Saccharomyces cerevisiae S288C: one gene and its partners. The gene in region 2 interacts genetically with the main gene of each other region. Each region holds a gene or a part of one and is shown on either strand. Other genes may lie near its edges.

Region 1 (6,573 bases), on a different chromosome or scaffold from region 2:
TGGGTCCAGAACTTCTTTCTGGAAAAGCGAAGTGGCCTCTTCATAACGATGAGGGTCTGGCTGCTTACCTTGCAGGCCTGGAATCGTCTCCCAGTGCTGCAAGGAGTCGTGCTCCTTGGACCGTTGCACGGCAAATAAGATCATCGACGTAAATATCAACTTGTCGTGCTGATAAGCACTAACCTGCTTATGGATGAAATTTCTACCGTTTCTCAGATTCTGCACATGGTACGTGATCTTGGTCCGCGGATCACCACCCTTGATGAAATACGAATGTAGCGATGTGGGGAAGAAGTTCAATGGCACAGTATGCAATGACGCCAGCAGCGATTGTGATACCAGCGTTCCACCAAAAGTGCCCTTAGACCCTACGGGCGCGGCAGGCAGATACTTTGTGACAAAACTGGTAGGCGAAAGAGGAACCAGTTCCAATATTTTCTCTAGGTTGGACATGGCCATTTTGGAAGCACTCATTTTTATGCAATCTTGTCTTATCTTGTCTTGCTCATGGTGGATACTGAATTGAAACCCTTTTCTGGTTTATATCCAACTGGCGTGGTTTTTCATTGTAGGATGAGGCTCGGTGTTTATGCCGTCTCTTCCGAGGATGCAATCAAAGGCTCTCTCCTTTGTTGGGGTAGTAGCAAGTCCAATAAGCAACGCTTGTTTGTTGATTGGGCCGATTTACATAGCCTATACACTGCTGTTACATATGCCTGTGTAGAATGAAAAAGCAGGACGCCCGTTTCACAGCTCAGATTCCAGAGTGTCGGGTCTTAGTTCCTCCCAGGGAATAATGGTCCTGGCCGCACGCTTCAGCCGATGGCTAGCGTCATCATTGTCTTCGCTATTGTGGTTTTGGCTGGTGGATAGGGTTGGGGAGCTGGATCTTCTGCGTTTCATGGACCTTGTGACCATCATTCTTGGTGGCGGCACGGACTTCTTACGCTGCTTATCGTGGGCTTCGTCCATATCGTGCAGGAGTGTGGTGCCATTCAGAGACACATCCGGGCGATCGTAGGCGTGATCTGCCTTTTCTCGAAACGCCATCTCTAGAGCAGTCTGGCGGGTTTGTAGACTGTGCATGTCTTTGGATAGAGACAGGAGCACTTTATGCACGTCCTCCAGTTGGCTGCCGACGTTGAAGAGCATCTCCTGGGTGCACCTCATCGACTTTTCCGTCTCATGCTGCTTGTTAGTTACGTGTCGCGTTATCTTGGAATTATACCTGCTTATTTCTTCGACTAATACCTGCCTGTAGCTGGAATCCGACTTTGTCTTCTTCTCGTCGCCTTTCGATAACATTGCTGTTGACACTTTGTCCAGTTGGTTTTCAATCTGGGAAGCCAAATCCTTTATTAAGGTTTTCACGTTTCCTATACTACAGTTGTTAGTAAATGTGTTTTGGAAGAAAATGAATAAAAAACTTGAGGGTATGCACTGTGTTGGTACGAACCGTTCGTAGCAGCATCTTGTTCCAGTAGCTGGTTAAACTTGTTTAGCGATTTACATAATGTCTTAGAATTTTCATTTAAAACTTTAATTAGCTTGTCAGAGTTTTCCCTCAGCTCCATACTCTCCAATTCCAGTTTACCTGCCCATTCCAGTATCTGCTTGTCCGATTCCTCTAAAGCGCCTGCATTCGCTACTTTCCCACTGTGGGAGAATATAGATCTGAACGGTGATGATGTTTCTGTAATCATCAACGAGTGTTCAGAATTAGCCTCTGAAACATCTGTAGATATCTCGTCTGTTCTACCTCTAGCGACCATTTTACTAAATGTTTCTACACGTCTGCAGTATCCTTGTTTTGCTTGTTTTCCTTCTTTCTGTTCTTGTTGATTTTCCCTTTAAGTCCTGAAAATACTATCATGGCGTAAAGGGAAAAAAAAAAACTAATCTTACGTGGTTCTTATAAGATGGACCAGCAAGCTGCATACAGTACACCATACAAGAAGAACACACTATCGTGCACCATGTCAGCCACCTTGAAAGACTACTTAAATAAAAGAGTTGTTATAATCAAAGTTGACGGCGAATGCCTCATAGCAAGCCTAAACGGCTTCGACAAAAATACTAATCTATTCATAACCAATGTTTTCAACCGCATAAGCAAGGAATTCATCTGCAAGGCACAGTTACTTCGAGGCAGCGAGATTGCTCTTGTTGGCCTCATAGATGCAGAAAATGATGACAGTCTAGCTCCTATAGACGAAAAGAAGGTCCCAATGCTAAAGGACACCAAGAATAAAATCGAAAATGAGCATGTAATATGGGAAAAAGTGTACGAATCAAAGACAAAATAATATAGTTGCAATAATAGTAATAATAATAATAATAATAATAATAATAATAATAATAATAATAATAATACCATGTATAGAAGTATATAAATCATACAATAAATTTAAGCATTAACCCGTCACGGACTGGCCATCTTCAGATGCTTCTTCTCTTCGCCAATGCCACAGTCGGGAGGAATCCCCATTTGGTACATCTTTATGGCCAGCTCCATCAAATAATCGATGGCTTCGTTGAAAATTTTGGCCTTATCGATTGTCGGACCCCAAACAAAAATGCCATGTCTCCTCACAATTACGGCGCATGTGTCTGGATAATCTTTAAAAGTCTTGTGCAAGTCATCGATCAACTCGTCCTCATGCGCCATGTTTTCAATGATGGGAATCTTCAGCGTATCAAAAAACGATAGCGCCATGGGTTTCTTGGTCACAGGGTCCACCTTTCCGCTTGGAATTGCTTTGATTTGTTCGATGTTAGCAATCCTGAACTCATCGCCAAATAGCAAGGAGCATATCACAGCATTTTGGGAGTGTGTATGTATTATAGCACCTGCATTTTTCTTTTGGTAGCACGCTAAGAACAATGGAGTACATGCGCTTGGCTTGTAAAGCTTGGGAGAGCGCAAATACTCTAATGTCTGAGCGTCCATGACAAACAAATCCTCAGGTATCATCTTCTCCTTCTGCACCCCAGATGGGGCGAGATAATAATAATTCGTGTTAGGATCTTTTATTGAAATCCCACCTCCAGTTCCGGTGCACCAATTATTATGAAAAAACTGCTTGCATAGCGTGCAAATGAGATTTGCTGGATGGCACGGATCATCTGAATGTATCAGAACATCTTGTGAAGACATAGTCGTTCACTGGCTCCCCTTGTTAGTTCAGTGCTTAAAAACGTTACATATCTTGATGAACAGCTAGCTGCTTTGATCAAGAGAAAAAAAAAAAAAATTGGCACCGCATCTTAGTGCCGCAATCTTACGTAACAAGAGAGCTATAAAAGTACAACTAACAACTCTTCTAATACTTAATTAGATTGAGGGCGTGCGTAGTTTAACGTCTTGCAATGGAAACATGTCCTCTTTTCGACATCATTTTCAAAATCTAAAATGGCTTCTTTCACTTGGGTACCTAAGTCTAACATTTGCAGTTCACTCTCGTGGACCACTTGGCGACAATGAGAACAGTACCACCTTATCTTATCGTTTTCTCCCCCAGGCCTATCTTGTTCCACAACAATACCCACAGTATCAGCAAACCGAACAGGACTGTGAGGAACATTTCCTGGCAATAAATATGAATCGCCTTCATTGATGATGATATCAATGAACTTTGGTTCAGCGTCTGTCTCATCCACAACCTTTAAAAGCATAGATCCTTTTTTTTGATAGAACCATTCGGGAGTTGGATTGATGTGATAACCGGTTCTTTCATTAGGCCCACCGACAATCATCACAGTGAATCCCCCTTTATGTAAGCAATAATTATTCACCGGTGGTTTCAAAAGGCCTTCGTTCTCCTTCAACCATTTGTCGATATTAATTGGTGTAGTATTAAACATTTTTTTCGATTTTTTTGGTAAATGTATGCTATTTCAGTTACTTGTAGACTGTCGTGAAAAGAATAAAGAAAGAATCTTTTACGTCCGTTTTTTTACTTTGCCGAATATGTTTCAGTGACTCACAATTTATCCTGACGCCGTCACAAAGGCAGCCATTCCATTGCAATAACGACACTCTGAATATTCACGAACGTTCACCAGACATTTGGAGGCAGCGTTCTAAATGCCGATACCCGTTCAGGAGTACAGGTGTCAGTGACAGAAAAATAATGGCACCGTTGACGTCGAAAATACATCCGCGCAAATTTTGACAGGCTATTTTGGCAGCGCAATCAAAGAATAAACTTGGTATAGTAAGGAAGCCAGTTACTGTACGCATGAATTACGGTAGCTTTTTTTATTTTATTTATTTTTTTTTTTTTTGGACAAATAGAAAAATTTTTATTATTATGTAAGATTATTGAAGTAAAAATACAATTGGACGAATCTAGTTAGATTGCCAAGATGTGTTAAAAGGCAAGATTAACTTATGAACATGATCTACAACGTCCTGGTTTTTAAATTCGAGTAAATACGCCTCCTTTTTATCTGTGAATGACAGTCCTGTTCTCCCAAGTCTTTTTACATCATGGAGACGGGAGTTATACTCTCTCGGGTACAAGGTTCCTTCAGCATCAGAACAGATCACAAACTTTATCGCAACAACAATTCCTTTATATTCCTGGGAAAATATGTCGGTATAGCCTACTCGAGACGGCTTCCAAACATCAGCTTTCGTTTTAACATGTTGCTGTTGGAATAAAAATCCACTATCGTCTATCAACTAATAGTTATATTATCAATATATTATCATATACGGTGTTAAGATGATGACATAAGTTATGAGAAGCTGTCATCGAAGTTAGAGGAAGCTGAAACGCAAGGATTGATAATGTAATAGGATCAATGAATATAAACATATAAAACGGAATGAGGAATAATCGTAATATTAGTATGTAGAAATATAGATTCCATTTTGAGGATTCCTATATCCTCGAGGAGAACTTCTAGTATATTCTGTATACCTAATATTATAGCCTTTATCAACAATGGAATCCCAACAATTATCTCAACATTCACATATTTCTCATGGTAGCGCCTGTGCTTCGGTTACTTCTAAGGAAGTCCACACAAATCAAGATCCGTTAGACGTTTCAGCTTCCAAAACAGAAGAATGTGAGAAGGCTTCCACTAAGGCTAACTCTCAACAGACAACAACACCTGCTTCATCAGCTGTTCCAGAGAACCCCCATCATGCCTCTCCTCAACCTGCTTCAGTACCACCTCCACAGAATGGGCCGTACCCACAGCAGTGCATGATGACCCAAAACCAAGCCAATCCATCTGGTTGGTCATTTTACGGACACCCATCTATGATTCCGTATACACCTTATCAAATGTCGCCTATGTACTTTCCACCTGGGCCACAATCACAGTTTCCGCAGTATCCATCATCAGTTGGAACGCCTCTGAGCACTCCATCACCTGAGTCAGGTAATACATTTACTGATTCATCCTCAGCGGACTCTGATATGACATCCACTAAAAAATATGTCAGACCACCACCAATGTTAACCTCACCTAATGACTTTCCAAATTGGGTTAAAACATACATCAAATTTTTACAAAACTCGAATCTCGGTGGTATTATTCCGACAGTAAACGGAAAACCCGTACGTCAGATCACTGATGATGAACTCACCTTCTTGTATAACACTTTTCAAATATTTGCTCCCTCTCAATTCCTACCTACCTGGGTCAAAGACATCCTATCCGTTGATTATACGGATATCATGAAAATTCTTTCCAAAAGTATTGAAAAAATGCAATCTGATACCCAAGAGGCAAACGACATTGTGACCCTGGCAAATTTGCAATATAATGGCAGTACACCTGCAGATGCATTTGAAACAAAAGTCACAAACATTATCGACAGACTGAACAATAATGGCATTCATATCAATAACAAGGTCGCATGCCAATTAATTATGAGAGGTCTATCTGGCGAATATAAATTTTTACGCTACACACGTCATCGACATCTAAATATGACAGTCGCTGAACTGTTCTTAGATATCCATGCTATTTATGAAGAACAACAGGGATCGAGAAACAGCAAACCTAATTACAGGAGAAATCTGAGTGATGAGAAGAATGATTCTCGCAGCTATACGAATACAACCAAACCCAAAGTTATAGCTCGGAATCCTCAAAAAACAAATAATTCGAAATCGAAAACAGCCAGGGCTCACAATGTATCCACATCTAATAACTCTCCCAGCACGGACAACGATTCCATCAGTAAATCAACTACTGAACCGATTCAATTGAACAATAAGCACGACCTTCACCTTAGGCCAGGAACTTACTGAATCTACGGTAAATCACACTAATCATTCTGATGATGAACTCCCTGGACACCTCCTTCTCGATTCAGGAGCATCACGAACCCTTATAAGATCTGCTCATCACATACACTCAGCATCATCTAATCCTGACATAAACGTAGTTGATGCTCAAAAAAGAAATATACCAATTAACGCTATTGGTGACCTACAATTTCACTTCCAGGACAACACCAAAACATCAATAAAGGTATTGCACACTCCTAACATAGCCTATGACTTACTCAGTTTGAATGAATTGGCTGCAGTAGATATCACAGCATGC
Region 2 (7,948 bases):
CTCTTATATATGAGATCGTGGAAATGCTTGACAAACAAATTATTTAAATTTGCATGAGGTTCTGCAAATAGCAACATGTTGTTTTTAATCCTTCCAAGAACTTTTTTCATTAGTGCAAAATAGGGAGTGAAGACAGCATGGAAAGCGCTTTTTAACGTTTCATTCGTAAAGTTCAAACTGTTCACGGAACATTTTCCAGGCCAGTGGAATCGTACCCAATAAACAGTTGGACATAGAACTAGGACTGGCATACACTCTTCCATTTGGAGAATGGATATTAGTATAATGTAAATATAATTGATTTCATCTGGATGTCTCTCAAAGTCAGCAACGCTGATTCGTTGGATGTATTTGTTTGAACCTGCCAACAGCCTGAAGTACTCTAATTTTTGTTTGTATGTAGCGAAATTAGTAAATTTAGCCAATCTTAGCATGCCTCTAGAAAATGATATATTGATGCTTTCGAAGCCTGGTAATCTAGAGTATTCAATGAACATGATTGAAAAAGCACTAGGCCAGGTGATTATACCGCAGACTTACGGTAATATAAGGGCAAGAGAACTAAAAAAATCAATAATGTAGGCTTATATTACAGTTCTTTGTGAGATATTCCTTTCTAGAGCGTTTTCTGTGTCCACTCAATTAATATATACACTTCCCGTATCCTAACATTTACTGACACAATGATAGGCACAACGCGCGAAGGAGCGGTGGGGCTTTGAACAATAAGGACCCTTACATAGAAAAGGCGTTAGAACAACAATATGGTTAGGCCATAGAAACCTCGGTGTCTTTTAGGAACTTCACAGAATAGAACATACTGCAGTAGATATAAATACACCACTGGGGCAATGCAGCCTGGTTTTTTCCAAATATACAAAACACTTCATGATACTTACTAATGGTCGTTGATACAGTACTCATTGTATCATTGCAGGAGAGTTAGGTTGGCTTTTTTGCATTTATTTATTTATTCATTTACTCAATTGACAGGCAATGTCAATGATTTTTTGGAAGAAATTTGCCTAATGTTTTTACTCAGTTACTCACCGCTCCCTGGATAACATAAGGTTCATTTGCTTCCGTACTGATTTTTTTTGGCAGTCTATAAGCCACTATGTACTTCCCAATGCTCCTGCAGGCATATTCTTTTTCAATTTTCATGTTTTTACTTCCAGTCGTTGAGCATCATATGGATTCTATGTTGATGAGGCTTTTCAGAACGTGCTGTACTTTCGGAGAAGCGCCCGCTTTAACGCAGCGCGAAGAGAATAATTGAGGCTTATCTTAGAACCCTGCCCCCTTTGAAGCCACCCATTGCTGTTTCTCTTGGTAATCCTAATAATATAAAACAATACGATATTGTTCAAGATCAGCAGAACTTCAATTCGTTGATCAATCTTTTCGTCACCTTTTCTTCTATCACATCGCCAATATAAATATAGACACCAAAAATGCCCAAGGAGTCAGAGGTCATAAATTCTGAATTTCATGTAGATGTCCAAGATCCAGAGCGTCTAAACGGCCACCCTGTAGCAAAATTTATCAATAAATTAAGCGGTCAACCTGAATCTTACGTCAACAGGACTAATTATATTTTCGGTCGAACACTGGGTGCCGGTTCCTTCGGTGTTGTGAGACAAGCCAGAAAGTTGTCCACAAATGAAGATGTTGCTATAAAGATCTTATTGAAGAAGGCATTGCAGGGAAACAATGTGCAATTACAGATGCTGTACGAAGAGCTGTCCATTCTTCAAAAATTGAGTCATCCGAACATTGTGTCATTCAAGGATTGGTTTGAATCGAAGGATAAGTTCTATATTGTCACTCAGCTGGCAACAGGAGGTGAATTATTTGATAGAATTCTGTCTAGAGGGAAGTTCACAGAAGTGGATGCTGTTGAAATCATAGTTCAGATTCTTGGTGCCGTGGAGTATATGCATTCCAAGAATGTTGTTCATAGGGATTTGAAACCTGAGAACGTTTTGTATGTTGATAAGTCAGAAAATTCGCCTCTGGTAATTGCGGACTTCGGTATAGCTAAACAATTGAAGGGGGAGGAGGATTTGATATACAAAGCAGCCGGATCGTTGGGTTATGTGGCACCAGAAGTCCTCACACAAGATGGACATGGTAAGCCTTGTGATATATGGTCCATTGGTGTGATCACATATACTTTACTGTGCGGTTATTCTCCTTTTATTGCCGAAAGCGTTGAAGGATTCATGGAGGAATGTACAGCTTCGAGATACCCGGTAACCTTCCATATGCCATATTGGGATAACATATCTATTGATGTTAAGCGTTTCATCTTGAAGGCATTGAGATTGAATCCAGCTGACAGACCAACTGCTACGGAATTGCTGGACGATCCATGGATTACTTCAAAGAGAGTTGAAACTAGTAATATTTTACCAGACGTTAAGAAAGGGTTTTCTTTGCGTAAGAAATTACGTGACGCTATTGAAATTGTGAAGCTTAATAATAGAATTAAGAGGTTAAGAAATATGTATTCATTAGGGGACGATGGCGATAACGATATAGAAGAGAATTCCCTCAATGAAAGTCTTCTGGACGGCGTCACACATTCGTTGGATGATTTACGTCTGCAATCTCAGAAGAAAGGGGGAGAACTAACAGAAGAGCAAATGAAATTGAAGTCTGCATTAACAAAGGATGCCTTTGTTCAAATTGTCAAAGCTGCAACAAAGAATAAACATAAAGTTTTGGCTGGTGAAGAGGAAGACGATAGCAAGAAAACACTGCATGATGATCGGGAGTCGAAGTCAGAAGACTAAATTACGGACTTGAATTCGTGTACATAAATTCGTATATAATATTTAATGTGTAAAGCTAGTGACGATTTTATGTAACCAGCAGCTACACTTCATGGCATTCAAACTATAGACCTTTTCTGGCATTACGCCTCAAGCTTCTTTTTTCCCGAGAATTATCTTGTAGTTGCCTAACGGGTTCTGAGAAGATCTCTATATCATCACAATTCCTATCACAATCTTTAGCGCCATTGTGTAATTCTCTTTTCCCAAAAGATTTATCTGTCCTATCTTCACCTTTTCTTGTCAATGTATTCTCCTCACTCAGATATTCTGAATCATAGTCATCGCTAACGTCAATGTCAACTTCATTTTCACTTTCCTCGGAAACGTCACCATTTACATCACTCGAGTAATGCACCGTGGTTCTTCTCTGAGAGCTTGTTCGCAAATGACGTCCTTCAGTACTGCCTGTAGGGGCAGCAGTTATGCGCTGAATAGTCTCATTTATGAATATACTGAAAATTTTCAAAAACTCAATTAGATTGTCTATACCCTTTTTTGTATCATCGGTGTCATTTTCAGTAAGTGATGATAAACTTTCCAAATACTCAATGAAGTTGCTCAAAGAATTCGAGTCTCCTGCAACTTCAAACCAATGCGGCACCTCGGCAAAGTGAACATCATTGAACTGTAAATTACGGATACATGCAGGAGTGTTCCTATATATAAGTTTAAGTTGACACTTGTTTTCATTTTGTGCGGTTTTTGCAGGCAGTATTTTTGTACCCTCCTCTTTGAATTTTACGAAGTAATTAAGATAAGTTGACATGTCATTGAAACTGTAACTAGTGTTTACTGAACTGCATTCGTTGCCAATCCAGAATGGTGGTAAGTAGAAATCTCCAACTCGTGGAATTCTCGCTATCATAAACTCTGATGTCCTTAACTTGTAAATTTCGTCTACGGTGGGATCATCAATTGGTGTGTGTGTAAATTCGTTTGCAAAATATTCACCCCATTCTTCATTTATTTTAACTGCAGCTCGTAATCTGTCTGTAGTTACTTTTTCGCTCAATGATTTCCGAACACCCTTTAGAAATTTCATCTGACTATTGATCTTACTCAGTTTTCCTTTGTCGCTGGGCTTCCTTTTCTTTCGATTTTCCAACTTTTGACTCATCAAAGAGCATAAAACTTCACAACTATCTAATATGTTATTGGCCCCGCACATAGCAAACCTGCTGGCGTGAAAAGTTTGATGGTTGAACCCTGTATCGCCTTTCAAGTGAGTGAGCCTTTGAATTTCATTATGGAAAAGTGCGGAGTAGCTACAATTCCAATCGATCATGCATCTCAATAATATTATTCTATCTAATGGTTCCATCGTCAACAAACCACCTCCATTAAAATTTAGAGTAGATAAAATATCACTATTACCACGCCATTCTTTTGGTAAGCCCCACTCCTGGATTAAGCTTCTGAGTTTGCCAACCAGTTTTCCATATGGATTTTTCAAACTAAGAAATCTTTTTAGCGTGAAATTTCTATGAGTTTGGTTGTCTGCTCTTTTCTCGGAGCAGAATAATAACCTCAAAAGACTGCAAAATAGTAGATTCATTTTATCCTGACAAATTCGAATATTCTTCGCAGAATGGCCAGCCACCTTTAATTCTAGTCCTATCTCCACATCTTGAAATGACAGGTTCAGTAGATCGTCGCTGAACACCCATTTAAATTTGACGATAAAAGAAAGGATCTTCATAACATCGCCTGCATATGGGAGAGGGGTGCAAAGGGGAGGCGCCCAATTGCTTTCCGTTACCGTCTCATCACTCATAAACTTTGCAAAGTCAGAATATCGTAAAGGAATATTTGGTGACCAGTTTAATGTATTCAATGGTCTATTATTAGAAGTAGTGTGTTCACTGATCGACTCTACCTTGTTAGTGTCGTTCGAATGTGTTTTGATATTAGAATATTTGCTTGCCATATTTGCCTCCATTTCTTTAGTTTTCATTTCTTCATCACAGGTACCTTCATATTTCTCCCGCTTTTTAGTATTTTGGGTAGCAGCATCCAGTGATTCGTCAATTGAACTATTGTGAGAAAGTACAACAGGTTCTTCTACAATTTTGATGTTTCTGAAATCATCAAAGGTCAACTGACCCCTTCTTTTTACCCTAGGCTTTGAAGACTGGTTTTTCTGTTGTTTGACCATAGGTTTCTTGATAAAGTCATCGACCAAGTCTAAATCAATAATTTCTGTCATTATTGTACCTCAAATTTCTTGTTCCTTATTTTCTTGTTTGATGTCTAAAAAAAAGAGATATCCTGGTAATGAGCAGGCCGTTTCTTCAGCTCATACAATCGAAAGCTTAAGAGTTAGTCGTTGATATGGTATTCTCTAATACCGAAAATAACTTAGTACATATAAACGCGTAAAGTTCACGCGTTTATATCACCCTACCATATGACATTCTAACCCTACTAATTTTTTATCAAAGCTAATAGGGTTGTATTTTATTATCTTTTACACCTACCTTTTTTTTTTGTATATGCCCTATAGATGAATTATAATTGTTGGACCGGTTTGTATTGGGCTTTTAAGGTGTAAAGTGAGTGCGTATAGATTATAGCAGAATAGACTATAAGTACGGCAAGACAGGAAAGTCTCCAATTGATGTACATTTTATCGCTTTGTGATCTAGGCAGTCGTTACAAACATGTTTAGAGATAGAACTAATTTATTTTTATCATACCGTAGGACTTTCCCTCATAACATAACTTTCTCATCTGGGAAAGCACCCTTGGGCGATGATCAAGATATTGAAATGGGTACATACCCGATGATGAATATGTCTCACGATATATCGGCCAGATTGACAGATGAACGAAAAAACAAGCATGAGAATCACAGTGATGCGTTACCACCCATATTTATTGATATAGCGCAGGATGTTGATGATTATCTTCTGGAGGTGAGACGGTTAAGTGAGCAGTTGGCGAAGGTTTATAGGAAGAATTCGTTACCTGGCTTTGAAGACAAGAGTCATGATGAGGCGCTGATTGAAGATCTAAGTTTCAAAGTAATTCAGATGCTGCAGAAATGTTACGCTGTTATGAAACGATTAAAGACCATATACAACTCTCAATTTGTGGATGGTAAGCAATTAAGTCGAGAAGAGCTGATTATACTAGATAATCTACAGAAGATCTATGCAGAAAAGATACAAACTGAAAGTAATAAGTTCAGAGTATTACAAAATAATTACTTGAAATTCTTGAACAAGGATGATTTGAAACCTATCCGCAATAAGGCCAGTGCAGAGAACACGCTATTATTAGATGATGAGGAAGAGGAGGCAGCAAGAGAGAAGAGAGAGGGCCTCGATATTGAAGACTATTCAAAAAGGACGTTGCAGAGACAGCAACAGCTTCATGACACTTCTGCAGAAGCATATTTGAGAGAACGTGACGAAGAAATTACTCAGTTGGCAAGGGGTGTATTAGAAGTGAGCACTATTTTCAGGGAAATGCAAGATTTGGTTGTTGACCAGGGGACTATTGTGGACAGGATTGATTATAATCTGGAAAATACAGTGGTAGAGCTAAAAAGTGCAGATAAAGAGTTGAATAAAGCAACACACTACCAGAAGAGAACTCAAAAATGTAAAGTCATTTTATTACTAACATTGTGCGTAATAGCGCTCTTTTTCTTTGTTATGTTGAAACCACATGGCGGTGGCAGTGGTGGTCGTAATAATGGTAGCAACAAGTACAACAATGATGATAATAAAACAGTTAATAACAGTCATGATGACGGCAGTAATACCCATATTAATGACGAAGAGAGCAACTTGCCGAGTATCGTTGAAGTAACAGAATCTGAGAATGATGCTTTGGATGACCTACTTTGATGACAAAACTTTCACGGTACCGCATCGCGATTTTGAACTATAATATGCTTTGAAGAAAATTGAGAGATTTAGTCAGCGTTCATATGACCTGTTGCTCGTTCTATTTGAGAAAAGTGAAAAGGTTAATATATGATTTCAATAAAGTATGTAGTATGATAATAAAATACAAATTTATATGGGATAAAATTGAACCGCAAGTAAAGACTGGCGAACGAATATTGTGCATAAGTAGTTCCTGAAGATGATAAAATATGGTTTAATACAAGTTGGTGGTTATTGTGATTTGTAGAATATAAAAAAAAAAAAAGAACCTTCATTTTTCTTTTTTTACCTAAATCCGTAAGGATTGTTCAGTGAAGTAGTAGCTCGGGGCAAGTTTTTGTTTTGCATTCTCCTCTTATAGGCAGGCTTATATCCTTGTGTTATCGGGCTTTGGTTTGGTAAAGGATTCGGAGCAAAACCGACGCCTGGTACCGGATTTCTGTGCTGTGGCACTTGGTTTGGGGCAACGTTGAAATAAGGATTGCTTTGTAAAATAACATTAGAAGGATCTGGACCAGCAGGAGTAGTTCTTTGATATAAATTGTATTGATGATATTGCTGCTGTGGTTGCTGTTGTTGTGGTTGTAGTCGTTGTTGGGGATACACTAATGGCGCCGGGTGTGGCTGACCAGCGTACGGCCTTATATTTGCAGGACCAGCGGCTGTTTCTCGAGGCATTTGATTGTATACTTCCGGATTGACACCTCTCTGTGATATTGAAGTCAACGTTGAATCTTTATCGTTGTAGGAGGACATGCTGTTGATGTGGCTATCGTTTGGTTCATTGAAGGAGGTCTCCATGATGTCGTTTAGTAGTCTCGAAGGATTTCTGTGCGGTATGACCTCTCTTTGAGAGTAGTCTGAGGACGCTAATGATGCACTGGATGATATTTCCGTTTTTCCTAGCGGAACTTTATAGTTTATATTGTTGCTGGTGTTACTACCATTGTTTCTCACATAATTATTAGAAACACTCCCATTTTTCAAGCCACTTTCACTTTCAATGACAGAATACGTTGAAGTTGACCTCCTTTTGTCATAGGCCATGCCATCGTCCTCTTCTTCATTAAGTCCGGAACCATTTGAATTTTCCATGTCCTTTGCTTCTTTATCGAAAGTAGAAATATCAGACGTGGTAGAAGTGGTTATGTTTGATAATTTCGGATCTTGATTGTGTGAAATAATATCTGGGACAACAGTGATATTAGTACC
Region 3 (7,738 bases), on a different chromosome or scaffold from region 2:
CAAGCATTGCTTTGGGAACCTACGATATTCCAAGATCGCAAACAGCCGAAATTGTGTATGAAGGTGTCAAGTGCGGCTACCGTCATTTCGATACTGCTGTTCTTTATGGTAATGAGAAGGAAGTTGGCGATGGTATCATTAAATGGTTGAACGAAGATCCAGGGAACCATAAACGTGAGGAAATCTTCTACACTACTAAATTATGGAATTCGCAAAACGGATATAAAAGAGCTAAAGCTGCCATTCGGCAATGTTTGAATGAAGTCTCGGGCTTGCAATACATCGATCTTCTTTTGATTCATTCGCCACTGGAAGGTTCTAAATTAAGGTTGGAAACTTGGCGCGCCATGCAAGAAGCGGTTGATGAAGGATTGGTTAAGTCTATAGGGGTTTCCAACTATGGGAAAAAGCACATTGATGAACTTTTGAACTGGCCAGAACTGAAGCACAAGCCAGTGGTCAACCAAATCGAGATATCACCTTGGATTATGAGACAAGAATTAGCAGATTACTGTAAATCTAAAGGTCTCGTCGTCGAAGCCTTTGCCCCATTGTGTCACGGCTACAAAATGACTAATCCAGATTTATTAAAAGTTTGCAAAGAGGTGGACCGTAATCCAGGTCAAGTTTTGATTCGTTGGTCTTTACAACACGGTTATTTACCACTACCGAAGACTAAAACTGTGAAGAGGTTAGAAGGTAACCTTGCAGCCTACAACTTTGAACTGTCAGACGAACAGATGAAATTTCTTGATCATCCTGATGCTTATGAGCCTACCGATTGGGAATGCACAGACGCGCCATAAAAAGAAAATGCGAACCGTAGAATAACGTATATAGAACATATAATTAGTTTACGTTTCACAAAGTATTAATATTACATGTAGCTTTTTCAGGACTTTCGATCTAAATCAAAGATTAAAGGAGCTGCTAGAGGTAGAAAAGGAAATCATTGACTTTTCTTGAAGATTTATGAGCGGGTAACTGGAGATGGAAATTTTCAGAAAAATTGTAAATGGATGCGATGACTTCGATGTGACGTTACTAGTCTTACCATTGTAAAAACCACTATCGGTGCCAAAAGATAAGCGCAATCAACTAAGAAATTTACCACGCTCTTTGTATTGTATTTATCTCCAATTTAATCTTTCTTTTGGTGTGAAAATTTAGCGAAAATGTCATTGGTGAATTCGTTAACACACTACGAAATTTTAAGAATTCCATCGGATGCAACACAAGATGAAATCAAAAAGGCATATAGGAATCGGTTACTAAATACGCACCCCGATAAACTTTCTAAAAGCATACATGATACGGTTAGCAACGTCACAATCAATAAGATTCAAGATGCTTATAAAATACTATCGAATATAAAAACTCGTCGCGAATATGATAGGTTGATCCTTGAAAACTATAAACGCCAAGGATTTCATAATTGTGGTGATGGGCTGGATGAATTTTCCTTAGACGATTTCTCATTTGATGAAGATAAGCTGGAGTTTATGATGAATTGTCCTCGCTGTCAATTTGTTGGTGGTTTTCATTTTAGTGAGAGTTTGTTAGATGAATGCATTGATAATGTAGACGCTATGGAACGGAGTCATTCTGGTTATCAATTATTAACCCAATGTAGCGCATGCAGCTTATGGCTGAAGGTTAATTTTGACATCGAGGAAGAGCAAGAAGGACAATAATGAAAATGGGAGGGGAAATTGAGCATATCAGATAAATCTGTTTATAGAATTATTATTTTACTTCGTGGGAAATCGAATGGTGTATATAAAAGAGGTTGTAAAATTGACGAAATAAATAGTATTTAGGCAACTAAAGATAAAAAAATATTATTTATTTTTATTCGCGGTGCGTTGCCAGATTTTTTTTGACATGCGGAATTTTGGTAAAAAGAAAAATGCAGATATGAATAGTAAACAAAGGAATAAAAAGCCTTTCATGAAGAAGTTCGTGTTCGAGATCTTCTTCCTTCTTTTTCGCTGTCGACGATAGATATGAATGCTTTTGCCATTGATTTCAAATCCGTCATTAAGCTAACATGACCTGAAGAACTGGCGATTTTACAAACAACTGGAAAGCCTCTCTGTTCAGGCAATAACCATTTATGGTGAACAACACCGTCGCCCGGACCATAGTAAAAATCTTCATAATTCCCATCTTTTATATCTTGTATACCGTTCACTTTAGCACCTCTAACAGTGGGAACCTTGTTACCGTAAACCATGGCCAATGGAGGATATTCTTTGTTCGGGTCGTAATCTAAGCTATCCAAATAATTCTTTGTACGTTTTAAAGTTCTCGCTAAATATTCACAGCTATCTTCATAAGATGTATGGAAGACTTCATCGAAAGGCACATCCCTTGGTACCTGTTTATTATTGCCGGCTACATTCCTAACAACAGGTGCATTTAGGACAAACTTGGTAGTTGCGTTTAGGGTAGCTTTAAGCGAAAGCGCTGATTTCGTTTTCCTTGGTAATAATTTTGATTTTTCGTGAGCTGATTCCTCTCTTTTCTCATTGACGAGAGGTGACAAGCCAAGGGTTTTCCAAACATCTGTATCAAAAAAATCGAAATCATACCTCTCTAAGGTAATTTTGTCAACAAAACATCTACCATCTAACGGTAGAAAATAGAAACTACTTCTCATAAAAAAGTTGGTTTCTTTAGTGAAAATAGTTTTATTCCACATCACATCATCTCCAAACCTAATAGGACCTAAAATATTTGGACATTGGCTTGGGGAACCCACGTAAATAATACCTCTTATCAAATGAGTACAGTCTTGCAACACTTTATGTGCGACCAATCCGCCCATTGAATGGGCAATGATGTATATTCCCTTCTTATTTTTTTGCTTATTGTAAATTTCCTCTAGTTTAGTCGTTAAATGCTTGGCAGATATGTCCAAGGATAATCTCCAATCATAGCCAAACTGCTGAACATTTAAATTAGGATTTGCGTCTAGCCTCTTTATCAACCTCTTAGAGATATCAACAGGCCCTATATGTGTTAGCATTCCATCAGGGACAATCTCCTTCTGAGTTTTAAGTTCATCTTCGTCATTAGGTCCGATCAATAAATCGACTTTCGTCATATTCAAACCTGCCTTTAATGGGATCCAAATTCGCTTATGAGTAGTAGCATCCCTTAGCACACTACCTCGATATCCACCCATTATAACGACATCTCCTTCCAATTCATTCCATATAGATTCTAAACGCGAACGGTAATATCCGTCATGAGTTTTGTCGAATGGGTCTGCTGTTATTTGCTTAATGGAGTTCTTCAAGGCATCCATTTCCAAAGATTCTTTAACAGCCCTTAACCTTGAATTATCAATGCCCCTTTCGTATTTAAATAATTCTATCTCTTCCAAGGAAGAAATGGAGGTTGATTTTTTCAGTTTTTGCTTGATCTCATTCTTTCTTAGATTCTTTTTGATGAACTCATCTGGAGTCTTGGGAAGCACAGTTTTAATTATGGCTAATGGTGAACTTGATCGGAAATTTGTATTACCAAATGGTAAGGAAAAGGAGAAAGTTTTATGAGAGCTGTCATAGTTCCCGTCATGCGAATAAGAAATAATTTCATCGAGATCTTCATCATCAGCGTCAAGAGAAATGGCACTCGCTTGCTTCTCTTCTAAATTATGATAGTTATTGGGCCCAGTTGTTTCCTTCTTTCTTCCCCTTTGTTCACTATCGCTGTCTTTTTCTACTTTATTGCTTATAACTCTTGCACCTCCAATCAAGGTATCCACTTTCTCCATTGTATCCAATTCACCTTCGCTTTCATTTACGGAAAAAAAGCTTACATCACTACCACTATCACTTGAATCAGAAAGACATTGCTTGTTATATTTATCATTATCGGAAATAAGATCAGTAGCCGGAGTTGCCATCATTGTAATACTCCCCAGTTAACCTCTACAAGTTGATTCTTTTACGTATCACCAAAATAGGCAGGCTATTCTTACCCAGTCCTTTCTTTTTAAGGGCGTCATAGAGTTGTAAGCATTTTTTGAGAATGCAGTGATGAGCTATTAACTTCTCAAAACTTCCTGACGTTTTATTACCCGGATTGAAGTACCTTGTATTCTTGGAGATGTCTGTGGTCGAGTTAGGAAGTGTGAACATGCCTATCAACGCCCCAAAAACCAGTGCAGATAATGATCTGGAACAATTTTTCCGTGTTTTAAACTTCCTCAGTAGAAGTATTTTTATTTAGTCGACTATAAAGGTGGAAGTCCATACTTAAGAGATATTAAGGGTATTTTGATCAACAAGTAAGTAACAATCGTTATAAAAATACAATAGCAAAAGTATGAGCGGAGAAAATCGTGCTGTGGTGCCGATTGAATCAAACCCTGAAGTTTTTACAAATTTTGCACATAAATTAGGTTTAAAAAATGAATGGGCGTATTTCGATATCTATAGCTTAACAGAGCCAGAGTTACTAGCATTCTTACCAAGGCCAGTGAAGGCCATTGTGCTGCTATTTCCGATAAACGAGGATAGAAAATCGAGTACCAGTCAACAAATTACAAGTTCTTATGATGTTATATGGTTTAAGCAATCAGTCAAAAATGCGTGCGGATTGTATGCAATTCTTCATTCTTTGAGCAATAACCAGTCATTGTTGGAGCCCGGCTCCGACTTGGACAATTTTTTAAAATCTCAAAGTGATACTTCAAGCTCGAAGAATAGGTTTGATGATGTTACTACCGACCAATTCGTCTTGAATGTAATAAAAGAGAATGTACAAACATTTTCTACTGGCCAGTCAGAAGCACCAGAAGCAACTGCAGATACTAATCTACACTATATCACATATGTGGAAGAGAACGGAGGGATATTTGAACTGGATGGAAGGAATTTGAGCGGACCCCTCTATTTGGGAAAGAGTGACCCAACTGCCACCGATTTGATTGAACAGGAATTAGTTAGAGTGAGAGTCGCCTCATATATGGAAAATGCAAATGAAGAAGATGTATTAAACTTTGCTATGCTAGGATTGGGCCCTAATTGGGAATAATAATTGTTTTATTACTGCGTAGTCAAATATGTATTTACAGAATTCTTTTAAATATATAATTCACCTACTCATCATAGCCACCGCCAAAAGAAAGGAAACCTCCAGTTTGTCTGGAATGTCTCGAAAAATAATCGAAATCGATGGACACAGCGTTTGCTAATAACACGGCCCTTTGATCCAAAGTTAGTACTTGAGAACTTAGCATCTCAGTAGGATAAATATTATCAAAGCATCTCTGCGAATCAAATCTAACAACATAAACACCAGTATCGGTAAACATTTCTCTTCCTAAACCAACCCAATTTCTGTCTACACTCGCCATTATCTTACCATCAGCATCTGTTACAGGAAAATCAAATGATAAGAAAGGTGCATCTATCTTACCAAATTGGTCAAAAGTGGATCCTTCTACTCCATCTTTCTGGAATAATTCGTAACGACGCCTCCAGAGATGCCAGTTCTGAATGGTCTCTCCTACTGTCGTTCCTTCTTTACCGTCGTGATAGTGAGTGGAGTCACTGCCATTATCAACATACGCGGAAGGAGGTATGATAGTCTTTATATGAGAATTGATGAACGAAAAGGGCCTTTTAATCGTCATTATTACATTTCCCCAATTATCAAAGACATCTACCAAAAAAGGACGATGTAGACGATAAAACTGCCGCATTATGGCCTTTGTTATAGAAAAATCTCTTTCCATCATTGATGCTATTTTGTTTCCGTTCACATCCATTATGGCATACCTATTAGCCTGCTCGAAACCTAGAAAAACGTTCATAAATTCTATTTGCCTTTCGATAATAACTGTCGGTTCATTAAGTATCGTAGTAGCTATAGGATCATGTACTTTTATTATCCCGCTATTGCTATTTTCTTTAAATGCTTTTACTGATGGCGCCTTCGTTATTTGGTTCTTTTCACGAATTACTCTCCTAAATGGACCGTTTCTGATTACTTTACCAGAAGAAACCGTTAATGTTTTACTCAGTGTACTGAAATTTCTCATACATGATCGGTAAGTTAGAAATATTGCCGTTCTATGCATGTCGGTGTTATCCTTTATGTTTGACCTTTAATCTTCTTTTGTTTTGTCTTTTTTCATTTCGTACTTTTCAAATCCTTATTGCCGGTAGGCTTACAAACTTGAATGAAGTATATAACGAAGTCAATGAAACCTCTCCCATACTAGGTTCGGAACCTGTTAAGGGGAACAAGACCGCGCACTTGTTATGAAAATTCTTCCTATAACTATATTGAAAGCTATTTTTCCACATCGGCAGACAAACGACTGTCCAGACTTAGTAAAGCTCTTGGTCGATTTTGTACATTGCCTTTCCTTTACAGCTCCAAGATATTATATATATTTTTGACAAGGTAATCAATTGCCCCACAAATCTTCCATATAAAAACCTATATATGCTATTAACCGAATGGCAATTCCCTCTATCTCATATCTCACCTCTACAGTAATCCTTCCGTGGTATCTGGTCTATAGAAATGGGTACTGTTTCATTTAAACGTGTTATCACTTGATCCAATGGTTACCATCTGACTTTGGCATCAATCCCTTCTTAAAAAGTAACCAATCAATGATATGCGATTGTTTATGAAGTCCATTCAACAAACAATGGGAGTTTGGCCGAGTGGTTTAAGGCGTCAGATTTAGGTGGATTTAACCTCTAAAATCTCTGATATCTTCGGATGCAAGGGTTCGAATCCCTTAGCTCTCATTATTTTTTGTATTTTTTTTTTTCACTTCCCATCTTTCCAAGAATCTTAGGAGAGGTGCCGCAGTACTTTTTTGGACTGAGCAAGAAGTATCGCAAAGCATGGAAAAGTAAGAAGGGTATAGCAAAAGTCTTTTCACAATAAGAGGATATTTTGCAGGCAAATTTCTGAAGACCACATAATATCGTCTTCTTGGCGCAACTAAGACGCAGAGAAATGCTTGTTTTCAAAAGGGGTATTCACGTAGTACCTAAACTACCAAATTCTAAGGCCCTACTGCAAAATGGAGTGCCTAATATACTCAGTTCTTCGGGATTCAAGACGGTGTGGTTCGACTACCAGCGATATCTATGTGATAAGCTAACGCTGGCGACAGCGGGACAGTCTTTGGAATCATATTATCCATTTCACATATTGCTGAAAACTGCAGGAAATCCATTACAGTCAAACATCTTCAATTTGGCGTCCTCTATCCATAATAACCATTTATTCGTGGAGAACATTCTACCTTCTGCTGTTGAACATGGCACTAACTCGAACGCCGTTGTGAAGACAGAGCCTTCTAGGCTTTTTTTATCCAAAATCAAAGATTCATTCAACGGCAGCGATTGGGAAGTAGTGAAGGAGGAAATGATTTACCGTGCTGAGAATGAAGTCTTGGGACAAGGCTGGTTATTTCTAGTTGAAAACAATGAGAAAAAACTCTTCATATTAACGAGCAATAATAATGGTACGCCGTATTATTTTCCCAGGAACCAGTCATTTGATTTAAACAGTGCGATATCCATCGATGAATTTGCTACCTTGAAACAAATGAAAGAACTGATAGGAAAGTCTACTAAGTTGAATGGTAAGGTTCAAGACTGGACCATGCCTATAATCTGTGTCAATCTGTGGGATCATGCTTATTTACATGATTATGGCGTTGGTAACCGGTCCAAATACGTGAAGAATGTTC
Region 4 (8,570 bases), on a different chromosome or scaffold from region 2:
CTGAAGAAAGATATGCCATAATGATAAAAAATACAGAGAGTGGCAGAGATAGAACCGCTATTACAACTGGAATAGAATTCCAAAAAAACAGATTGCAGATGATCGTGCTAGAGACTATGGTTGTTTTATGTTCAGATCCAATAACCCAAACATTGGACGATGATTTAGAGTTGCCTATTGTGATTTCATTCGATACTGAAGATTTACTTGCTTGGATTGAAGCACTATTTGACTCGGACAATACTACTGTAAAAAATCTTGGTGTGCGTGCTTTGGAGAATCTCCTGGACAAAAATAGGGAAAATTTTAAACTATTTAGAGATGTTGCTTTCCAATGTGTTTCACACCACTCACATCCTTCGGTAGCTGTTTTATATTACACTACACTTTGTAAATCCGTTTTGAAATTGGATAATTTGGTTTTAGATGAAGATGAATTAGTCTCCTTGGGTTTGTATGGTTTAGTGGCAGATAAGGAAGATACAAGGACATTTGCTGTTGATCTACTTTCAGCTGTTGAAACGAAATTACATAATTCTTCTTATACCAAGGTATTTAAGGAGAGACTTGCAAATTCTTCAAAGACGGTTTACAAATCAACTGCAAAAGAAATTTCTAGCATATTTGCCGAACTGCTCTCTCAGGATTTGTGTTTGAGAATATTTTCCAGTTTGGTTAGAATACTTGATTTGTTTCCTTTCGAAATAAAAAGAGATTTGTTGGTGCTTATGGTACCTTGGGTAAACAAATTTACATTGAAATCTTTAGAAGAGTTGGACACGTTTATGGTATTGAATAACCTATTTTACATCACTATTGATCTTAACGACTCTTTACCGAACGAAGTAGAGCAGCTATGGATTTCTCTTGGCAAGGGTAATTCTTTCCAAAATATACACGTATCGCTGGAGTACATCATAAATTCTTCAATGAATCACTGCAATCCATTGTTTGTTCAGTATGCTAGAGATATTGTATTGTATTTGGCAAATATTCCTGGTGGCATTGGACTACTTGACACTCTATTGAATAATTTAGAACCGAAATACATGGTTCCTTTAGCGAAACATACGTTTAATGAGCCAATGAATAATAATAAGTATTCCTTTTTAGGGAATATCTGGGAACGACTAAATTACAATGGGAAAAGAATCATTTTTTCGAAGGCGCAGCTTTCGATTATCTTTTTAGTCAATTTGTTAACGAACTTGAGTGAATCTGTAAAGGCGAAAATTCCTCTTCTACTACATATGTCCATTTGCTTGCTTGACCATTATGTGCCGCTTATTCACGAAAGCGCGTGTAAAATTGCATCTACATTAATATTTGGATTGGCACCAAGTCACGAAAAGTCTGAGGAAACCGTGAAACTACTAAGAAATAAGCATGCCTTATGGTCATATGATAACTTGATGAAAAAAGGTGCAAGATCACCAAAAACTATGGACCTATTAATTAGGAACATAATCTCTATATTCTCGGACTTAGATGAATTTCAAGTAACTTGGCAAAGAATTGCCTTGAAGTGGGCTACCACTTGCTCAGTTAGGCACATAGCGTGCAGGTCATTTCAAATATTTAGATCATTATTGACATTTTTAGATCAGGAAATGTTGCGTGATATGCTTCATAGACTTTCGAACACTATATCGGATGGAAATGTCGATATACAAGGATTTGCCATGCAGATCTTGATGACTTTGAATGCAATCATGGCCGAACTTGATCCGACGAATTTGATCAGTTTCCCGCAGTTATTTTGGTCCATTACAGCATGTTTGAGCAGCATTCACGAACAAGAATTCATTGAAGTGCTGTCATGTTTAAGTAAATTCATTTCCAAGATCGATTTGGATTCTCCTGATACCGTACAGTGTTTGGTTGCGATCTTTCCTTCCAATTGGGAAGGTCGCTTTGATGGCTTGCAACAAATAGTTATGACTGGATTGCGATCAGCGAATTCCTTAGAGATTACGTGGAAATTTTTGGATAAGTTAAATTTGTTGAAAGATAGCCGAATTATAGCAAATACAGAGTCTAGGCTGCTTTTCGCATTAATAGCAAACCTTCCGAGATTTTTGAATGCAATGGATCGCAAAGATTTTACGGGCATTCAGGTTGCTGCAGATTCGTTAATTGAACTTGCAAATGCGTACAAACAACCTTCTCTTTCCCGTTTGATAGATTCTCTAGCAAAGAACAAGTTTAGATCAAAGAAAGATTTCATGAGCCAAGTAGTGAGTTTCATATCTAGAAACTACTTCCCCTCGTACTCCGCTCAAACGTTAGTGTTCCTTCTGGGTCTTCTGTTCAATAAAATAGGATGGATCAGAGTTCAAACTCTGGAAATTTTAAAATATGTTTTTCCTTTAATTGACTTAAGAAGGCCAGAATTTATTGGTGTCGGTGCTGATTTGATTTCTCCGTTACTCAGGTTACTATTTACTGAATACGAAGCAAAGGCCTTGGAAGTTTTAGATTGCGTACCAAATGTTTCTGGAAGTAAAATGGATAAGGATGTTTTAAGGATAACCATGGGAAATAAGGATGTGAAAGACGGCGATAATGCTACCACTACCTTGTTTGGTTTGCCTGAAGATAGCGGTTGGTCTGTTCCTATGCCAACAATGACGGCGGCTACGACAAGGCACAACGTTCACGCAGTTTTTATGACATGTGGTACAGGCAAATCAGATGAAGTATCTGCTCACGGATCGGATGATATGGATGCAGTTATCGAATTTCATGCGGATGGTGACTATGAACTCGGCAGAATGGATACAATTGTCGAGTTTCATGCGGACGGTGATTATGACCTTGGTAGAATGGACACAAACGATTCCATTTCTGTTGCGGAAGAAAAGGATGCTTCGTTAAGTCACATGTGGGCAGAGCTAGATAATCTTGATAGTTTTTTCACAAAGGACACAAATGTGCCAAATATCTCCTCTAAAATGGGGATGGGAATTCCACATGGACGTTCTGATTCGATTGAAACCACTCGCACAGATCAAACTTTTTCCTTTGAGTCTGCTCCACAGTTGTATGACAAAAAGGTCTCAGTCATACTGAACAGGAGCTTATCTAGAACACCGTCCAATGTTTCATTTAAAACTCATTTGGCTGATTCATTTGCTGTGAAAATAAACAGGAATGGAAAGCCAAGAATATAAGTTAATTTTTTCGTTCAAATAAATATAAAGCAGGCCTTGGTTTATGATAAGGTACCAATGATGAAGATATTTCGCATATAGCTAATACTGTTCGAAAATTAGATAATCTTATAGAGAAACTATTATCATTGTTTACTATATTATTCATGTTTTCTTTTAATTATCGAGCTTTTGAAGGTGAGGTAGTTTAGGAAGTGAGGCTGATAAGTAAAAATTGGATTTTAGGGAAAACTAGATCCAGGATTGGTACTATTTTCTTTTGTTATTGCAGTTTATCACCATTATTATTATTATTATTATTATTATTATTATTATTATTATTATTATTATTATTATTATCATATATAAATACACACATAAACGTTTTAAGCTTATGTTCAGCAAGTGCTGTAGCCACGATATTATAGAATATAAATCAAAGATAACGTTTTCATTCAGAGGGGTAATTTAAAGGTAGGTATTTCCCAAATAGCTGAGCATCTAACTGATCGAATACTCCAAGAATATCGTTTGAGTCAGTCATATTTTGTTCGTTTTTAATTTCAATATTAGGTGACATCTCCTCTTTATCTTCTATGTTCAAATTGTCTTGTGAAAGCGGTATTTGTAACTGGGGAAACCCTTCATAAGACGGTGAATTGTTATCAATCTTAATGCCGAAGTCATTATTATTTTTATTATTGTTATTATTGTTATTATTATTACTACTATTACCACTATTGTTATTGTTATTATTATTATTATTATTATTATTATTGTTGTTGTTGTTGTCGTTGTTGTTGTTGTTGTGATTATTATTACTATTGTTAGTAATATTATTGTTATTATTGTTTTTGCCACTAACATTATTGTAGTTGTTGTTAATGGTATCTGGGTTGGAGTTATTTGATGCATTGCTCTTACTGCTGCTAAAATCGAATGCACTGTTAGTAGGGATGTCGCCGTCATTCCTGATAAAGACGTCATCTGTGGCATCAAGAATATTTGATTGGCCATTATTATCAAGTCTGATATCAATAGATAAGAAATTGTTCGGATCTCTTTCATTAGACATGTTAGTCGTTCCTTGGGATACTTGATCTTGCTGTTGTGCTTCATTTAAAGGATTTTCGGAAATAGGTGTATTATTTAGGTAATTAGCCATAGCGTAATCATTGGTGCTTTCTTCACTCTTAGCTAATGAAAAGCTATTCTTCGTATCCTGGGAAGAAAAGAATACGGGTGGTTGCAATGAATCTCCTAAATGAGGTTTCAAAGCGGAGGAATTATTAGTCACTAAAAAGGCACTTTCGTTGGATGGTGATGAATGTAACGCAGTAAGCTGGATAGTTTTTGAGTTTAGTTTTTCAAAAATTTGGTTCAATAAATTATAAGTCCTGCTAGCGGCCATACTAGAATCCTTGAGTTGAATAAGAACGCTTCTACCAGTTTCTGCGTCTTTCAAAATATCATAATATTCTCTAGCACTATCCTTATCAGGCAATTGCGCCTCATGGATGTAAAATAAGAGACCTGCAACGGAGTAAAAAATTGTATAACAGGCATACCAGTATGAACCAGTTAATAAATTATTACTAACCATCTCTTTTGCTAACTTAATAACCGTTCGAGCCACGGCAATAGAGTTCCGGGCTCTCCGGTAACATAAGGGATCTACATTTTCAGCATTCATGTTGCGTGATAAATAATGAATAAAAGGCCTGTATAATATTATCTGAACGTGCAAAAAAGACAAATGTAATAAACGATTTGCCCTTTCATATTCAGGATCAATATTTTCTGCGTTAGGTATCAGTTCTTTGGGCAACGAATCCAACCAATTTCTCAACTTTAATTCCAAGCTAGTAACTGTCTCATGAGAAATTATATTACTAGTTTTTTTTATCGGATATAGTTCAGAAATGATCTCATTTAAAATCAAAAATAGTTTTGTATGTTCATTCGAAATCCCCGTACTTGATAAAACGGAGTGTTGGTTCTCAGGTAGGTACGCCACCTCAGTGATATTCTCATCTGATAAATCCAGGGGGAGAGTTTGGTCAAAATCGTCGGGGGAAATAGATCTCGGTAGGCCCAGCATTGCATTGATATAAACGTCCAGTTTATAGATTGTATAAAAAAGGCGTTTCCTCATCTCAATTTCTATTGGACTAAAACCAGAATTGGGGCTCAATTTCCTATGAAAGCCTGCTCTCAAAGCACTTCTCATGGCGACACCGATATAAGTGTAACACGTTGATAAACGTGCGGAACATTGTAAGAATATAATCAGCATTAAAATTGCTTGTATGGAATTCAAGTCACGGGCATTTGTAATGTCGATTAGTTTCCTTGCTGCAATGAAGTACTTGTAACCTTCATCCTGTAGAAACTTTTCCCTTGACGAGTCATTTGAGACAATGGATTTCGAGAATAATGCTCCCACAGCGATTGCAGCGTAGCACAATGGTAAAAATTGCATTTGCTTAGACGTATAATTGTTTGGGTCTGTCTCATACAACTCATCCAATTGTCTAATGAACGATGGTCTGTGATAAAATCGGAGAAGAACACAGCAATGTTCCCAAGTACTTTTCACGAATTGTAAAGCGATCGCTTTTGGTGGTAGAATTATTTTTATTTCTCTACCAACGGGGATATTGGAGTAGGTATCTACACTGTCTTGTTCCCTGTTGCTGGAGGCGCTATTCGAGTCACTTTTCATGTTAGGTAAAAATTCGTCTGGAGTGGAGTTTTTTGAATTTGAAGAAAGTACTGGTTGGATCGGAGAAGAACTGTCATTTACGATTAAAGTATATTCTTTCACAGTGTCATCTAAAAACGACTGCGAGTCCCTCTTAAAATTGTGAAAGATCTGCAAGAACACAGGAATATCCAGATTGTCTATATCAGGTAACTGCGGGAAGACCTCATCAAATATTTGCTTGTACCTGTCAATCTTCGATTGTAACCTTGTGCTCTTAGTCTTATACTTTCTTGGTTTAGATGGATTGTTACTTGCAGGTATTGTAGAAGCACCCGGTAAAATAGCCCTTTCTGTTTTAATGTTTGAGAGGAGTTTATTTGGATTGGAAGCGGCGGCTGCCACCACAGTACTTGATGATGGACCAGTAGTAACATTGCCCAGTGTTAGAACTCCGGAGTTTCCGGAGTTCTGTGTTCTCTTCGTAGGCTTCTTATAAGTACATTCATAAGAGTACACAGTACAATGGATACATGGTTGCTGACCATCACATTTAACTTTTTTCTTTCTGCATTCATCACAGGCTCTAGTGACCCTTCTTCTCTTGACAGACTGTTCCCCTTGTTGCGCTTGTTCTGGCATAACGCCCTTATCAATTATAATATGCGCTCCTTTTTCTTTGTCTCTTACCTTATGGAACTCAAATAAAAAGAGGCTTTTTTTCTATATGTTAACCTCTTCGAGATTTTCTAACCGCTTTATAAAAAATTCGATTACTGGTTGTCTTCAATGCAAGGAACTACTCAACAATAGAAGGTCATGTCCAGGTAGACAAACCTCATTACTGTAGTCACTTTTGAAAAAAAAATTACCAAAAAAAAAAAAAAGAAAAAAAGAAATCACTAGGGCTTGAAGAGCGTAGGTCTTATAAAATGTTTTTTAAGGGCTTGAACGGAAATATAGCATATATGATAGGTCTAAAAAAGTTACGAAATAGGTTATGATCCATGGATGAGGTAAACAAAAAAATGGAAAAACATAAACAAATCAGAAACGGTATAGAGAGAACAGGATGGTAAGAGGTTTAGATGAATACCGGCTCTATAGAAGATTGAAGGTTTAAATAATAGTGTGTAAATTGTGCGTTCAATTAGCAAAGAAAGGCTTGGAGAGACACAGTAATAATAAATGTCTGTTACCAGTAGGGAACAAAAATTTAGTGGTAAGTATAGTTCGTATACAGCCCAGGATCGCCAAGGGCTTGTTAATGCGGTGACATGTGTTCTTAGCTCGTCAAGCGATCCTGTGGCTGTGTCAAGTGACTATTCCAATAGCTTGAGTATTGCCAGAGAGGTCAACGCTTATGCTAAAATTGCCGGATGTGATTGGACGTATTATGTACAAAAATTAGAAGTTACCATTGGTAGGAACACAGACAGCTTGAACTTGAATGCTGTGCCCGGTACAGTCGTGAAGAAGAATATAGACATTGATCTTGGTCCTGCCAAAATTGTGTCTAGGAAGCATGCTGCAATCAGATTCAACCTGGAGAGCGGATCATGGGAATTACAGATATTCGGTAGAAATGGTGCTAAGGTCAATTTTAGAAGGATTCCCACAGGTCCAGACTCTCCTCCTACGGTGCTACAGTCTGGTTGTATCATAGACATAGGTGGTGTGCAAATGATCTTTATATTGCCGGAACAAGAAACTATTATATCGGATTATTGCCTGAATCACCTCATGCCCAAATTACTATCTACTTATGGTACGAATGGTAACAACAACCCGTTGCTACGTAACATTATCGAAGGTTCTACCTATTTAAGAGAGCAAAGGTTACAGGAAGAGGCTCGATTACAACAGCTGGACCACCTACACACCCCATTATCGTCATCATCAGATGTTAACCCAATAGGGGATCCACATGGAGACACGATTATGATGGAAGAAGATGAAGAAGATGAAAATTACACCAGAGGAGGAATTAGACCGAATACATACACGTCCAGTAGCAACAATGCTGTCACTAACGGTAATGTACCCCATATAGAAAATCCATCAGACTTGTCGCTGGATGAAAACAGATATATCAAACCACCACAGTCGTATGCATCGATGATCACCCAAGCCATTCTTTCAACACCCGAAGGTAGTATTTCATTAGCGGATATTTACAAATTTATCTCTGACAACTACGCATTTTACAGGTTTTCTCAAATGGCGTGGCAGAACTCCGTGAGGCATAATCTGTCCCTAAATAAAGCCTTCGAGAAGGTGCCCAAAAGAGCTGGTCAACAAGGTAAAGGGATGAATTGGAAAATTAGCGATGAAGTCAGGCGTGATTTTTTGAACAAGTGGAATGCTGGTAAATTGAGTAAGATTAGACGAGGCGCCTCTGTGACAAGACAGCTGCAATTGCACATGTCCAAATTTGGAGAAATACCTGCTCCTGAATCTTCATCAATTGACCCGAGGGGGATAAAAGCACAGAAGGTGAAAAAGTCTTTACAAGCTACGAGCTCGATTTTAGGTGAAAGCGCCCCGCAATTACAAAGAACTCAACTCACTGGCCAAATTTCTACTACGACATCCATGGACGTAACAACAAACGCAAACGTGAACAATTCCTCTCTGAGTTGAAATTCAGCGTCGTCGAACCCATATGTATTATTAAACAATAAAGAACAAAGACCCGTTAAGAAATATCTTAC

The links.
Region 1: mutations in ESC8 (region 2) and MDE1 together harm fitness less than expected from each alone (positive genetic interaction), as found in Saccharomyces cerevisiae (one large-scale study listed by BioGRID).
Region 3: mutations in ESC8 (region 2) and YJR098C together harm fitness more than expected from each alone (negative genetic interaction), as found in Saccharomyces cerevisiae (one large-scale study listed by BioGRID).
Region 4: mutations in ESC8 (region 2) and ASG1 together harm fitness more than expected from each alone (negative genetic interaction), as found in Saccharomyces cerevisiae (one large-scale study listed by BioGRID).

The regions. Positions count from the first base shown.
Region 1 is NC_001142.9:467,808-474,380, forward strand, and holds MDE1 (methylthioribulose 1-phosphate dehydratase MDE1), read right to left. Parts: upstream 3,158-6,573; coding exon 2,423-3,157; downstream 1-2,422. Other genes in the region: TES1 (palmitoyl-CoA hydrolase), read right to left, coding at 1-474; REC107 (Rec107p), read right to left, coding at 748-1,376, 1,457-1,772; U4/U6-U5 snRNP complex subunit LSM8, read left to right, coding at 1,977-2,306; BNA1 (3-hydroxyanthranilate 3,4-dioxygenase), read right to left, coding at 3,331-3,864; YJR026W (gag protein), read left to right, coding at 4,953-6,275. UniProt on the Saccharomyces cerevisiae protein: Catalyzes the dehydration of methylthioribulose-1-phosphate (MTRu-1-P) into 2,3-diketo-5-methylthiopentyl-1-phosphate (DK-MTP-1-P).
Region 2 is NC_001147.6:289,627-297,574, reverse strand, and holds ESC8 (Esc8p), read right to left. Parts: upstream 5,047-7,948; coding exon 2,902-5,046; downstream 1-2,901. Other genes in the region: IRC10 (Irc10p), read right to left, coding at 1-497; calmodulin-dependent protein kinase CMK2, read left to right, coding at 1,455-2,798; t-SNARE syntaxin TLG2, read left to right, coding at 5,501-6,694; TOS7 (Tos7p), read right to left, coding at 7,022-7,948. UniProt on the Saccharomyces cerevisiae protein: Involved in HMR and telomere silencing via the recruitment or stabilizing of the SIR (silent information regulators) complex.
Region 3 is NC_001142.9:611,238-618,975, forward strand, and holds YJR098C (uncharacterized protein), read right to left. Parts: upstream 3,920-7,738; coding exon 1,949-3,919; downstream 1-1,948. Other genes in the region: YJR096W (aldo-keto reductase superfamily protein), read left to right, coding at 1-806; JJJ3 (Jjj3p), read left to right, coding at 1,176-1,694; ubiquitin-specific protease YUH1, read left to right, coding at 4,339-5,049; AIM25 (Aim25p), read right to left, coding at 5,114-6,097; mitochondrial 37S ribosomal protein mS42 RSM26, read left to right, coding at 6,997-7,738.
Region 4 is NC_001141.2:100,710-109,279, reverse strand, and holds ASG1 (Asg1p), read right to left. Parts: upstream 6,499-8,570; coding exon 3,604-6,498; downstream 1-3,603. Other genes in the region: TAO3 (Tao3p), read left to right, coding at 1-3,173; forkhead family transcription factor FKH1, read left to right, coding at 7,045-8,499. UniProt on the Saccharomyces cerevisiae protein: Probable transcription factor involved in the stress response.